Drosophila melanogaster: one gene and its partner. The protein of the gene in region 1 interacts with the protein of each later gene in a pairwise test. Each region holds a gene or a part of one and is shown on either strand. Other genes may lie near its edges.

What was found. Proteins that work in one complex are often made in the same cells at the same time.
Region 2: the proteins of CG3529 (region 1) and CG9795 interact in a two-hybrid assay, tested with the Drosophila melanogaster proteins (one large-scale study listed by BioGRID).

What each region holds. Positions count from the first base shown.
Region 1 is NT_037436.4:9,444,853-9,451,830, reverse strand, and holds CG3529 (uncharacterized protein), read right to left. Parts: upstream 4,968-6,978; 5' UTR 4,836-4,967; coding exon 4,769-4,835; intron 3,444-4,768; coding exon 2,992-3,443; intron 2,931-2,991; coding exon 2,203-2,930; intron 2,143-2,202; coding exon 2,007-2,142; intron 1,814-2,006; coding exon 1,763-1,813; intron 1,600-1,762; coding exon 1,402-1,599; 3' UTR 1,046-1,401; downstream 1-1,045. Other genes in the region: CG3448 (uncharacterized protein), read left to right, coding at 300-1,007; Srg3 (Sting-regulated gene 3), read right to left, coding at 5,546-6,129.
Region 2 is NT_033777.3:4,317,460-4,325,813, reverse strand, and holds the start of CG9795 (uncharacterized protein), read right to left. Parts: upstream 6,132-8,354; 5' UTR 6,028-6,131; coding exon 5,924-6,027; intron 3,970-5,923; coding exon 3,767-3,969; intron 3,467-3,766; exon of another isoform or gene 3,319-3,466; intron 2,584-3,318; coding exon 2,192-2,583; intron 2,128-2,191; coding exon 1,925-2,127; intron 1,862-1,924; coding exon 1,650-1,861; intron 1,478-1,649; coding exon 1,304-1,477; intron 1,227-1,303; coding exon 1,142-1,226; intron 1,085-1,141; coding exon 1,003-1,084; intron 942-1,002; coding exon 325-941; coding exon of another isoform or gene 315-324; exon of another isoform or gene 118-314; coding exon 1-117. Other genes in the region: Syt14 (synaptotagmin 14), read left to right, coding at 7,187-7,232, 7,305-7,466, 7,526-7,858, 7,925-8,160.

The sequences.
Region 1 (6,978 bases):
GTGCTGCAAAATGCGTGTTTAATAAAATAAAATATTAGAATGCTAATAGAAGGGTTGTATATCGACTGTTAAAGTTAATTAGAACTTAAATATTTGAGCTCTCGGAAATATTTGAAGATGTATTTATTTATTTAATTTTACTGAAAAGAGTACATATACGTACACTTAAACGTTCGCCATAAGCACTCTATCAAAATTACATACATTTAATCAATCTGACAACTCAGTTGTAAACAGCTGTTTTAAAAACCCCGCAACAGTTGTTTACATTTAGTTGTGAAACTAAAATATTGCCGAACATGTCCACCTTTGTGGTTAAATTACTTCAACGCTCTCAGCTCTCACATAGTCAAATAGACGTAAAGCCGTTTATTTATGTCCGAAGCAAATGGATGGACGACGACGTGGAGTTTGACATCCTGACCACTTCTGACAATCAAAACTACCGGTCAATTGTAAAATACGATGAGTTTCGAAGTGGAGCCAGTGAATTGGAACAGGCCTACGATGCTTTCTTTGCGGAGTGCAAAAGTGCCGTAACTACGCACATGGGACTCCAAGGATTTGATTATGAAATATCCATGGAAGATGTCGAAAAACCAGCGTTCAAAGTGTACAAATGCGAAGGATACGAAACGCTGTACTTGGATGTTCCGCTTAGAAAAGTCTCCAACTGCTACCAGATGCTGGATGCAGCCATCGAAGCTGGTCAGCAGAAGCCACAAGCAGCTCCAGCCACCGAATCCGACGCCCAGACAACCGCATCCCTGGCTGAATATGAAAAGTATGTGAGGGACAGCAAGCTGAAGGAGGAGGAACTTCTCAAGAAATTCCTGCTGCTTTTGAACAGCAAAAAGGCCCACATCCGGGATTTAGAGAGTCAGTTGGAAAAACGATCCGGGAAAGTATCAAGAGCAAAGAATAATCAAAGGATTTTTTCTGATGACGAGGACGATGCCTACGGAGCAGCTACTCAAGTCATGAATATAGATAACGACTCAGATTAAGCCCCTTAGTAATATAAATATTTAAACAAAGACGAAATCGGTATGTGCTTGAAATGTATTTCCATTTTGTTTTAGTTTTTCTTTTCGATTTTGTAAAATAAATTAGCTTTATAATGTATGTATAAATAAACAACAAATAGACTTGTAACGTAATACATTAAATTACCATCAATGTGTAGACGTGGCTTACAATTAGACCAACAAAAGATCGCTTGTTTTTTTGGAATATAATCAATAGTTATCGTTGCTGTTTTTGTAAAAAATAAAAGCATTTTACATAAAGTGTTACTATGTATCTGCTATCAAATAGACGTTACGGATAAGTATGTTAGGGTGTGTATAACATTTGAAAGAGTAAACAATTAGAGCCGATGATGGTGCTGGCGGAGATCACTCAGAGCGCGAGCAGATCCTCTTCGGCGCCCGGTTTCTTTGGTGTCTTTCGTAAGCTATCGGCTCCTGCCGATCCTGTCGTGGCACTGGCGGCGGAGTTCGATGCACTGATCGTTGGAAGATTCTCGGCGGCAGCGGCTCTCTCCTCTAGGAATTTGTCAAACTCCGAGCTGGTCAGCTCCTCAATTCCCTCGATGTGCTGTGTGGTGGAAACAAATGACTCATTAGTCATATTAAGTACTCGAAAATGGATGACAGAAGCTAAGAAGCAAAGGAATAGTATGTAAATCGAGAAACTGAAGCCGAGTGCATGGTAAGATGAGCTTAGAAAAAGACAAAATGCTATTCGAATGGCTACTTACTGAGCTGCCCAACCACGCCTCCATCTCGTCGATCTCATTCTCTTTCGTCGACTGTGTGTGGGCGCCAACCGAACAACAAAACGAAACGAAAACCAAACGCAATTTGCATAGAACAAAAAAGAACCAAAACATATTTTCAAATTTAGACACATAGTGTAAATCAATGGCGAAAACGAGGTCAAAAGGTAAGGGAACAAATCGAACGCCATTAGTTAGACCGGCTGTCCGGCGGCTAGTTACTCACTTTACTTACCACCGGCGGTTCGCCGGCTGAGCGCTGTGCCTGCTGCGGTTGATTTGGTTTGTAAGGCGAGGCGGTGGCAGTCACACTCCCAGCAGCAGCGTCCACCGAGGGAATGTCCCGCAGCAAGTCCGATTTACTAAAAAAAGAATTATTGTTAATACTTGATGAGCTCGATTGGAAAGCACTCTTTACTGACTGGTTGCCATCGGTGCGCGACTGTGCCAGCATATCGAATTCATCGGCAGGTCGTGCGCTCCTCTGCACCCCAATGGGTGCTCCACCACCCAGGCTGATCTGTCCCAAACTCTGTGGCAGTTGGGCTTCCTCGCTGCTTTCGATTAGATCGATCAGCAGTTGGTCACTTTGCGGCGTATTGCTCACGGCGGTAGTTGTGGGCGGAGGTGGTAGCGTAGCCACCGTGGTGGCTCCTGCTCCAGCTGCTCCCACACCGGGCAGGCCCATGGCTGCGCCCAGCACAGCCGAGGGCGAGGTAACACCAGCACCCTGGCCCTGCGAACGATTTTTCTCGTAACGCTGGTGGCGCAAGAACACATTGTTCAGCTCGTCATTGATGCGCAGGAACTCCGCGGTGAGCTCGTCGTCCTGGACACGTCCAATCAGATCCACGATGCGAGACTGCATCTCCTTGCAGGTCGAGGTGAGCTCATTGAGCAGGGCATAGTCATCGGGCGACTCCTGGCCGGGCTTCAGAACACTGAGCATCTCGCTGAGGATGGACATATTGTTGCTAACGATCTCCAGTTCGGAGCGCAGCTTAGCCGCTTGCTCGGGAGTCAAATGCAAAGGACCTGTGCTGGGTGGAGCTGCGGCTGCAGCTGCGGCGGCAGCAGCGGCAGCCATGTGTTGAGGCGAGATTGTGTGCTGCTGAGCGGCCACCAGCTGAGGGGGCATCTCGGGAACACTCTAAAAGGCATATGAAAGCATTTATTATGGTTAAAGTAAAGAGGATTCCTCAGCGACTCACCCTCTGTGGCGTGTAAATGGGTGCCATGGCATCCAGATCGTTGGCTGGAAACTCGATGCCCTTGTTTTTCAATTCCATGTACATCTGGGTGACGCCGTTGAGATCCGGTTGGTTCTTAAACGCATCCGCCCAGATTTGTATCAGACTGAGAACCTTCTCCTGCATGGCGGCTGGTGGATCGTTCTTGGGCCCAATCAGCTTGACCAGCTCGTTGATGAAGTCCTTCTGGGCCACCAGGACATGGAAGGCCTTGCCGCAGTTCTTCACGCATGTCTCCAGGACGGTCAGCGTGTACATCACCACCTGGTTGTTTTTGCCGGCGTTCTGGGAGAGGCGTTTGCGAATGGCACGCATAGCATCGCGTGCAGTGTCGGAGGATTCGTTGATCATGTCGCAGATCTCCATGTTGGCGGCCCAGTTCTCCGAGGCCAGGTTGGCATCGGTGGCGGCCTCTGAAAGGTGAGAAGGTAAGTATTAGTTGACACCTTAAGATCTTTTTAAATCTATCGTTCTTCCAGAAAAAAAAACTGCAACAATATTTCATGTAATATAAATACAAAAACAAAAAAGGTATCCCTATTTTTTTTTTTTAAATTTGTATCTTATTTCTGAAAACGCTCGTTACATTTTAATTATAATAATATATTTAATTATAATTCCAAGTAAATTGTGCGGTTTTTGATCCGAAAGATGTAATTATTTTTTTCGTTTTCTGTGTGAAAACCCAAGTAAACAATTTGCATTCCTTTGTTTGTTTTTATGGGCGGCTGAAACTGTGTTTTTTAACAGGTGGGCGAGCATTATCTTTCGTTTATAATTTAGGATCTACCAAGTGCAATGACTTGCTCGAATTAAAAATGCACAAAGCAATTTGTTTAAATCCAAAACGAAACCATTGCGCAAAGTGTATTTCTCAGATATCAGATATCGTAACACTGATATCCAACAGATATAGGAGATATGGGAAAAGCTAACCAACCGCAATACAATAACAAAATGTGAGCTCATAAAAAAAGCGAAGCAACAAATTAGTACGGCACTAATACATATGCACGATTGCACGTAAATGTGTGTATCTGTGTTTGTTGTGTGTGCAGCGGCAAATGGAAATTATGGCGAAAATGCGAGCCAAAGGGGAACACGAAATAAATTAACACATTTTTTTATGTAACCCAGCGGCCAGCGGCAACGATGACTAATTGCGATTACTAAGGGCGCAAAACAGGTGGCCGCCAGGAGGGGGTGAAGGGAAAACAGGCAATCAAACAATAAAAGAGCGCATCAATAACAATACTCTTTGTGTGCGTGCCAAAAGGTGAGCAATTTCATAAAGCATACCAACAAACATTTATCTGATTTGTCACACCTGCCTGTTGGAACCGCATACTCATATAAGGGTTAATCTTATCAGAGGCCCACCGTTGTTGCCACCGCCTTTCAAATCAAATCAGACCGCTTTGCCATAGTAATGGTCTGGCAACAACAAATGAGTATCGCTACATGGAAATGTGCGCGTGTGTGTGAGAGACCAACAACAAAACAAGAAAACAAGCAAACGCACGAAGAAAGTTGTGAAAATTCAATTTTCCAATGGCCCAGTCTGATTGGGACTGCCTTGAAGCGTCCTCTAATCAGATAACTATCAATGTAAATGCGTAAATATCAACGCATATGCGTTGTATTTGTGGAAAATATTACGCTTTAACCACATATACACACACCCCCGCTTCCGGTGGGTGTTTTTTTTACGCTGGAGGGGGGAGGGTGGTTTACTCACCTATGCGCTGGCCAACTGGAGTGGAGAAAACATTTCCCAAGGCGCCAACGTTGAAAAATGAAGCCATCGTGGAGAAGTTTCTTATTAATGCTCGCCGTTGGGTTGCAGTGCGGTTAAAATTGTTCTTTATTTACTTTTTGTTCACCTGGATGAAATGTTTATGCACTTGTCTACAGCAGAGTGACCATGGCTGGCCTCAGCGAAAAATACCCACAAAGAAATGCATTACAATAAGTGGGTAAATAGGAATAGGTTTTTTTCCAGGGCTGCAGCATTTTATTTCATTTTATTTAAAAGAATTATCCACAGTTTTTGAGATAATGACATAGTTATACCCGTTACTCGTAGAGTAAAAGGGTTTATTAGATTCGTTGAAAAGTATGTAACAGGCAGACCATATAAAGTATATATATTCTTGATCAGGATCAGTAGCCGAGTCGATCTGGCGATGTCCGCCTGTCTGTACGTTTGAACGTCGAGATCTCAGGAACTATTTAAGCTAGAATGTTTAGATTAAGCGTGCAGATTCCAGAGACATAGACGCAGCCCAAGATTGTTGACCCATGTTTCCATGACCACTCCAACGCCCACATTAGATTGTTCTTAGTTTTATTGTTCACCTTGCACCTTGCACCTTTTGGATTGTAATCACACCCACATCTTTAAACAATTTTAATTTTTTCTCATTTTATTCGCAATCCGACTAGCTGAGTAACGGGTACCTCATAGTCATGGTTGTTCACAGAGCGTGTTATGTATCTCAAAAACTTTGTAATTTCAAAGAGTTATTTCACAATTCATTCCACAGATTTCGTGGATAATGAATTTTCGATTGTTCAACCTTGCACCTGTCTCAAAAATGAGCTTTCCGTCAGCGGTCCTTCTGACGGTACCGCTGGCGGTCCCACTGATGGTTCCGCTGATGGTCCCGTTGATAGCCCCACGGACGGTCCCCTTGACGGTTCCGCTGACGGTCCCTTCGATGGTTCCGCTGCCGGTCGTGCTGACGGCCCCGTCGACGGTCCGGCTGATGGTCCCTTCGACGGTCCCGCTGAGGGTTCCGCTGAGGATCCCGCTGAGAGTCCCACTGAATGGCATTGGAACGAACTCGTTGATGACCAATCCAATGACGGTCGCGCTGACGGTCCCGCTGACGGTAGCGCTGACGGTCTGGCTGAGGGTCCCGCTGAAGGCTCCTCTAGCGTTCCCGCTGACTTTCCCGCTGACGTTCCCGCTGACGTTCCCGCTGACGTTCGCGCTGACGCTAACGCTCCTGCTGACGGGCACGTCGTCGGTCTCGCTGTCAGTGATCTCCATGTCGACGGCCCAGATTTCCGAGGACAGTTCATAGGATTCGTCCTCTGAAAGAAGAGAACGTAGGGTATATTAGTGAGTGAGGCTTTGAGACTTATATTTTGATAGTCCCGACTTGGTTAGTCGGCTAAACTTCTCTGTTCCAAGACCCATAATCTTAAGCCCATTTAGATCTAACTATAAGTTGCATGATTCTTACAGAATATTGTGTTCTGACTATAATAGTCATTATCCTATTATCTGTAATCTTTGCTCTCTGCCGCTCTTAAAGCAATCAATCAAATCAATCGGTGCATTATTCACAAATACGACGCAAAATTTGTTTTTGGTTAGATTAAGGAATATATGAGTTAGCGGTTCCAACAGGCTGATAGGACAAATCATATGCCTCGCACGTAGGGTATAAACTGAGAAGAAACGTGTTTTTCCCCGGAATTCTTTGCGACACATACAGTTTGTCAAGAAACTGTTTACACACTGTGAAATAAGTTGAATTTTTGACTTTAAAGCTAAAAATAAAGGGTTTTTTGCTTAATTAAACGCAATTTTTTTATAAAATATAATTAAACAATATTTATTTTACTTATAAATCAAAAAACAAATTAAAAATATTAAATATACAAGAAAATAAACAACAAATTCCAAGTTTACACACTTTTGAGACTGTCAAGAAACTCTTTACACATTTTGTTTTCCTACTTTGTTTTGTTCTTTTTCTTAGAACGAACTCGATTTTTCCGTTATTTTTGGCTTTACATTGCTTTTTACAACGCTTCTATTGAAATTTGTTGACTTTGCTTGTGAAATTTTGCTGATCAAACGTGCTTAAAGCGAATTATTAAATTTAATAAAATGCCTGGAAAGAGATTAACTTTTGAAGTTACCCAATTAATAAA
Region 2 (8,354 bases), on another chromosome or scaffold:
TCCGCCACGCTGAATTTCGATGATAGCGTTATGTCCGCTGCAGTGCTTGATACGGTCGGGTTCCTCTTTGTCTTACCTCTCACCTGGTCACTTAGGTCTTCAACCAATTTCTCAAGGCTATAATGTTGCCCAGTATAAATAACCATTGAAAGATAAAAAGGAAGTGTACAATTTGTAAGTTTTAGGATTAGTTACCAAGCTCAGATAGTGATTAAAATGATTAGTAGAATGTGACTAAACGTATATTTAAAACGTCCATGCAAGTGAAAGTTAACGGTGATGGGTTAGTTTAAAAATGTAGAACAGAGCATATACTACACCCACGCAATTATACGTTGATTTGTCTCCTTACGTACGGAGGCCGCCTCGCTGCGCTCCCGCTTTAGATGAGCGTGGTCCTTCTTTCGTGGTAGCAATGGCGGTGGAATTCCCGGATTGATCTGGTCAGAAGCCAGCGCAAAAGAGGGAGGGCTTCTAACTGCTTGCTTTTCTGATTTAGGTATCTGTGAGTGAGGCGTTAAGTTGGAGGGAGATTGATGACCGATGTTCAAACACGATAAACTGTTGTTGCCAGTCAGGGATAATTCTTCTCCGTCCAGTCCTACTTGCTCTACTAACTGCTCCTCTTCTATTTCGTCGTCCTCTTCCAAAGAGTGTGTCGTTTGGATAGGCGTTTGATGCATTGTTCCATAATGAAGGTTTAAAGATTTTGCCCGTCGTATTCCGAGGGCACCGGAACCCACAACTCCGCCGCCACCCCCATTCGGAAATGGCTTTCGGAATCCATGGGATCGGTCATTTTCGTAAATAATGTCGTTACTGATTGGCCGCTGGTTATAACAACCGGCCAGAGCTTGACGAAGGCACTTGTTTTCGGATTCCAGATGTGAGAGGCGTTTGTTAGTCTCCTTTTTCTCCAGTCGCAACTGCATTACTTGGGTCTACAACCGAAATCGAATTTTTAGCTTTTAGCTTTTTATGCACATTTATTTTAGCACTCACCTTTAGATCGTCTATATCTCTCAGAATTCGGACATTTCCCTCGTTTAAGGAACACTGACGTTCTTCAACCATTAATTTTACTCTGAGAACAAAATGTAATCAACACTCTAAATATACTTTTTAATTTTCGACTTCTTACCGACTTAGCAGTGCATCTTCGCGTATGCGCGCTGCCTCCTTCACTTCCCGCACGACATCCGTCATCATTCCTGGAGTGTAGGCGCCTGAAAAATGGGAAGCGAATATAACTTATTACTCACTCCTTTGCATGGCATAGTTGGGGGTAGCGTTTATGTTATACCTGAGTGAAATGTGGGCGCTGGGCTGTGTGTCCCTCCCAATCCACTGCCAAGAATAAGAGGTTGACTTTGTGTGCTTAGCCCGCTTAAGCTATCTCTACGGTGCCGCATGCCCCCAAAGCCTACACCTGCCCAGTGCTGGCTATTAGGGGAGTGCTTTAAAGCTTCGATATCAACTATGATTGTGTTTGCAAGTGCAAGGGAGTACATAGAAAGAGGAAATGGGTGGCAACACATTCTAATTAGCATACGAGTACAAGTAAAATAAATCAGAGATTTGTGTAATTTTGTCGTAATTTGGGAAGCATCGTGACATCTAAACTGGACACAATCCTACAAACCACACACCTTTTGTATTATGCAAATTCCGGCAGATCTTGGAATTGGTGTCGTGCAATATGTTTATTTGTTCCATTAGAGCCGCGAAAAATTTGTTTTGATGTGCCAGATCACAGCCACTGCCATTGTTGTTCACATTTCGACACTCTGGTGTATTCTGGCCACTCAGCTTAGAGTCATTATCGGAGGGGTTCAGTAGGCACGGATCGCTGAACCGAAATCTGTTATCACACGGTAAGTACGGCTCTTTAATAATTCATTACGAATTTATTGTTTTTGCTTACCCCTTGGTAAAGTTGGGATTGCTTTCGCTGCCATCCAGCACATCCGTCGAATTCGGTTCCTGATCGCACCCAAGCCCTTCCGGCCCTCCCATCATGTTGTTCAGGGGAGGCAAGCTTGCAAACTCCTGGCCACCATCACCATAGCTGTTAAGGCTCTGGGGTGGGAAGAGCATCGGATATCGATGGCTAAGAGAGTTCGAATTCTGTAAAAATAAAATAAAGTTGGGTGTGCGTTGTACAAAATATCTTGCAATAGCAACTACTCACGCGCTGTATCCCCAGGCTAAACGGTGTGCCTGGACCCACTCCGTAAGGCTGGGTTCGCTTCGAAAATTCCTGTTGCCTCTGCTGCTGTAGTTGCTGTTTAAGCTGCGGCAGCTGCTGCTGTTGAGTCAAAAACATTTGCTTATGAGCTGGTGCTGTGGGCGGTATGAAGTCCAAAAACTCAGATGAAGAAGACAATTGGGCGTTGGTGGCATCACGTAAACAGCTCTCCAACCAGGCATCAAGGTGATCGTTGGAATAGTTAATATCGGTTCTCTTGACCTCACCGATGTTCGTTTGGTTAAGAGAGGTCGCCGCTGCTTCAGTTTTTTGGGCCAATGGGGAAGGTGGTACGTTACGCGACCTTAGTTTCTTGCGCTTGGTGGCATCCGTAGCTGAAGGAGAATTTAATTTGAGGTCATCTTGACAATTTCAATAGTGCAGGTCCTAGTGTGGACAGATTACGTAGCTAAAGGCTTCACGGCTTTCACTTCCAGCATTGACAAAGTGAAAACTATTACACGAATTCAACAATTCCGGACGTAACGCTCAACTCGGCGGCTAAACTAGAGTTGTCTAAGTTACTTTAGCCCAGAAAAACGTCTGGGGCAATTTGAAGCAATTTTAAGACTATTTTGGTTCGTTTTTCAATTGTTAAAACCAAACGGTTTTCTTTAAGTCAAGCAAATACTTGGTTTTTATAGATTGAGCAAACTCGATGCCCCTTTCGATAAACGGCCAGTAAGGAGAGCAAGGAAATTACTCAGAAATGCTTCTAAATGTTGAGGGATTGTCACCGAACCTTGAAAATATACATATTCTGGATTAGGATCACTAGCCGAGTCGATCTATCAATGTCCGTATGTCCGTCGAGGTCTCGGATACTATAAATTTCATAATAAGAAGCAAGCTTGTTTTGCAACTAACCAAAGCTGACACTCCCACCCCTAATTTGTTGTCATTTGACTGTATATATTGTTAATTTCTATTGATTAAAACTGCCACGCCCACACTATTGAACATTTTCAACTTTTTAATCAGATGTATGTATACTCATATACTTACTTAATATACATATGTACTTTATACTGTAATATTAATTTTAAACAAACAGTATATATTTTGCCCACCTTATATAATTCGGGAGTTAGGTAAATAGTTTCCGTTATTTCAATGATATATCTCGGACAAAGGCATCGTAACAAATAAAATTAAGTCGATTACTGACCGTGAAATCAGTCAGTTTGAATAGATTAAATCTTTTCGTAATTATAGTGGCTAAAAATAAAAGGAACCTTAAGATCAAAAAATGCAATATAACATGTTTATTATATCAAAATTAGTACAACACAGAAGAAACTTAGAGGTTTCTTAACTTTGCAGGGAATTATAAAAGGCGTAATGTACAAAATTAACCTAATTGATTTATTATTGTGTTTTGTATTTATTTAACATTTCACTCACTGATTTGGAATTTAATGTGAATTTTGAGTTTATAATACCAAGTTCTTTAAAATAGACTTTATAAACAACCTAGATTAACGGATATTCAATATTTCGGACGATGATCTCGCTCACCTCTCTGTGTACTGTTCAGACCCGCTCCAGTAGTGACCTTTTTCTGGGCACCGATCCCGCCGTTATTTCCTGGCGTTAAGCAAAAGCTGTTGCCAGCAATCAGCGACGTCACTTCTGCGGGGAAATCCAACCCACCGCCGTTTGTGCTTATCTCCCTCTGGCTGGAAGTTGTCGTTTCCTCCCGCAAAACGCTCATGTTGCTTCTGAAATAGAAAAAATACGGATAGTTAAGTATTGTTAAGCGAGGTTTTTCATTCGTGCGATTCCGCAGTGGACCATAAAAACTGGAAGCACACAGAAATTAACCCACGAAAGACTCGATGTTTGTACCTAGTGCACTTGGGGGAGACAATAAACAGAAGTGAAACAGCAAGAAAAATCCTCAAGTTACGTATGCAATCCCTGGAAACAGCCGTACGATTTCTCCAAACACTTGCACGACCACCGTCACAAACTGTGCTGTGGTTGCAGAATATACAATGTAAAAACATTTAAATGTATGCAGGCACAGACCAGTGGAATGGCACTTAATTGACGAACAATAAACATTTATTCACTTATTGATCTACAAATGAATTTAGACGAATTCACTAACAGATAATAGAATTTTCCAGCGGTAGCCCTAAATCAGCGTTTTGTGTCTATAAAATTGTCAATGAGGTTTAACAGTTTACAATACGATTGATAGTTCAACTAAAAAACCTATTTACCAGTTTTAAGCGTTGTTTCTATTAGTATGTAACATCTAGTAATACGTTCGGGATGAAAATAGGCGGTAGCTTGGATTCAAGATAATTGTATCTACTCCCACTTTAACTGACTAAGAACGACATTGGCAGTAAACTCTGGCCACCAAGATGAACGTCAGTCAAGTATAAAGAGAAAATAAACATTCGCCGCTTTTGGGTCAAGTTTTTTTTTGTTGGTGGGTGGTTGCCAGCAAATATACATACTGCAAGTGAAGACATACCAATAAGCATAAGGTATTTGGCAGCCAATTGAAGTGGCTGGTGCGTAATCTATGCAGTCGAGTTAACCGAAAATTAAGCCGCCAAACCAAACCGGTTTCACCGCTGTGTCTAATGACCTTTCCATTTAACAAATTTTAATGACACCAATAAAGAAAGGCTGCGTTGTCAATGGAGATGGTGACATGGCCCACAGCGACTCCTTCCCGCGATCAATGACTAAATGCACACGGCGACAAAGAGCTGGAAGAGCGAGTCGCTTGGTTTGTTGACCCAATCGAAGAGCACTATACATACATATGTACTTCGATTGCTTGAGCTATATTGTAGCAAATATTTAAACCCTGGCAAAAAATGTGAATTAGATATTGACTTGGCTGGCGATATTGATCAGGAATAGATATACTTGATATGGTCGCAAATATCTCCACCACTGCGTTAAAACCTTCTAACTGAAATTAATATACATTCTGCAAGGGTATGAAGAAATTAGGATTGACAGAAATGGAGTTGACTTGAAAGTTGAATACTAGCTTAAAAGCTCAAAAGACCGGGAAACGACATTGTAAGTTTTTGTAGAAATTCCAAGCATCTACAGCTGGGATTCCCACGCCATTGCTCACTGGTCCACTGCAAAAACTTGCTTACAATAGAATATTTTCTAGAAGCTCTGCGAGGATATTTTATATATTTGGAAGTACACATATATACCTAACGAAAAATGCCTTGGTTGTTAGATTCAAGGTTAGACAAACTTTTATTTTCATACAAAAGCGTTATATTATATGTATTTAGACTGCACTTTGCCAGATTCCAGTTCGGCTTCGTGCTGCTTTGTGTCGAAAAGTTTTGACACGCGCTCAACTCTGGTCTGGGCTCTTGGTACGGGAAATCGAGTTTTCAAATCCCTGTTCCACCCCCATCCCACCCTCTCGATTTTCATTGTGTGCGAGTGACTGCTGCGAAATGAAAAGCGAAACGACATAAGATGACGTCGTAGACTGGCTTTCTTCCTCCTGCTAGCTCCACCAGCAATAAAGAAACGAAGTAATCGACGCCAAGGAGGTGGTATCACGGTACCACCGCGGTATTCCGCTTTGTGGGGGGCACTGAGCACTATATTTAGCTGTTTAGCCATAATCATATTATCAGAAGCGTCTCAGCGGAATTTGGCACACACGGCACTCACACTTGCCCAGTGGCATTGGCCATCCAAAATTTACTTGCGTCACAATTGCGGATTAAATGTATTGGACTTTCAAGCACGGCGTGGGCGCGGTCACGGTTTTGCATACGGTGTTCTGACAGGCGGAAACATTCAGTTTGAGCAGCGACAAAAAATTAAGCGCACAACGGAACTGAGCCAATTCATTAGGCATTTATTTTAGAGGTGGGCAATCTGCGATGTGCCGTCAAAGCGATGACTTTCGCTGGAACAGCGATTGTTGCGATTATCGATACCTGCTGCTCGGAGTGTTATCTGCTATCGAATAACAGCGCATTTCATGTATGTAAGCATGAGTAGCTCTAAAAATTTTGACCTAAATTATAAGGCTCTTTTTTAAACAACCGGACAATTACCTGAATGGAGCATACAATGTGCATTAATTCTGATGCACTAATTCCGCTTTTCTTAATTATTTGGTTCAAATTTTTGAACATCAATAACAGGCAAACGGTCTTGGTCTTAACATTTTATGAAACCGTGGCTACGACTAACGTTTAAACCTTCGAATGCATACGACACGGAGAGAATTTTTATTCGAGACATTCTAAACAATTACAATTCAAGAAATCACAGCACAGCACAACCAATAAAAAAGAATCCCGTTTCTAAGTTTTCAGCTTAAATCATCCTCCCAAACACAAAAAAATAAGCAACAGTTGTTACTGCGATGCAACTGTCGAAACGGAGCTTTTCCGAGCCCTGTGTGTACACACACTGGGGGTGGAGGGATTAAGCTCCAAAGTGCTTGCTTTGAAGCAGTTTTTCCATCGAGTTTAAGGCAGCTCATCCTAATTCAGTTGAATTAAATCCTGAGCCGTTTGATTTTTATTTCTGAATCTCTCGTTGCATGATTCGCAGTTTTGGGATCGTGCCTTCAAGAAATCGAAAGTGATTAATAGGATAGAACAGTATAGTTGTTCCTTCTATAATTTGTTTTACGATTTTGCAACCAAATCTCAGATGAACGGTTCCGAAATACGGAAGGGCCAAAAAAACGGGTAATTCGGAGTACACCAGCTTCCAAACGACTTTTTTGCTTTGATCCCTAGTCGTTGTCTTGCGAAAAATCGATTCCAGTTATCCTGCGACGCTGTGCTGTCAAATTCCTGAGCTTTTGCTTTCACGCTGCAGTGAGAATAATTTTTAGTGACTTGACTTGTGGTCCGGGTGCAATGAGTTGCGAGTAGTAGACTCGTGTTCGCCAGGATCCTCGCATGAGCCAAGATGATTGTTACCTCCGCTTCTGGACTGGATAGCACTCCGACGCTCGGTACGTAAAAATGTATATGCACCCCACAAACCACACCATTCTGACCTGAGCCGTGACTGTTAAATCTTTCAGGCACCATCGAGGTGACCACTTTGCTGGGCGCCTTTTTCGGCGTCCTCGTTCTACTGCTCCTGTTGTTTCTTTTCATCAGTCGCAAGTGCTGTTTTCACTACCGCCATGCCATCAACTGCTGCGACGAGCGCCACCTTGCAGTCAAGTGTGTGCAGAAGATCAGTGAGTACCGTGTTTCGTGGGGATTGGGGCTGACTGGCTAACTTTTAAGTATCCCGCAGCCCGCAAAAGGCGTTACGAGAACACCAGCTCCGACTCGGAGGAAGACATCTTGAGGCGCCTGCGGTGGCATCAACAGCACCAACTGGGCGAGAAGCCTGGCGGATACGGGCTGGGAATCAGCCAGGCTAATCCGCTGACGGCGCAGAGCTTCAACTACCACCAAGCAGGCGCAAGTGCCGACCTGCAGCGTGTGACGGTGTCGCGTGACCCCTTAGCCATCGCCGAGCGTGGCAAGGTTGGAATCCCGTCATCGCACAGTGAGTGCAGCTCGAACGATTCCATGGAGGTCTCCGTGGACAGTCACACAGGCGTCCTGACGGGTCTGAGCAAAGGTAAGCAAGGCGGGGTCAGGGCCAGCTAATTGACAGCCGTTGCAATGAGTCACGACCTTTTGACAGCCACAACCACAGTTCCCCACCCGGCGACAGCCTTCCGCAATCCGTGTGGAGAACACCGGGCCAAGACCCAGGCACTGAGGTACCAGCACCGGGTCAACGTGGCTGCTCCGCCAAAGCTGGACAAGGAACGGGACAACGTGCTGGTGGTGCCCATGGTCAATGCCTACAGCATTAACAACAACAACAACTCGATAACAACCAGCAATAACCATCCCAGCAGCAACAACAACGATGACGTAAGTTTTACAACATAAGAGGTACTTTAAATACCTATTCCTTTAAAAGAAACTATGCCTAGAAAGGCATTCAACTTTCGGTCGGACTCGTAAAGTTTACCCAACAAGCATAGTCGAGTCTAACCGACTCTTATGGTCCATATAGTCTGTTAACAATCTTTTTTTGCTTGACAAGTTAAAATTCATTAATGCGT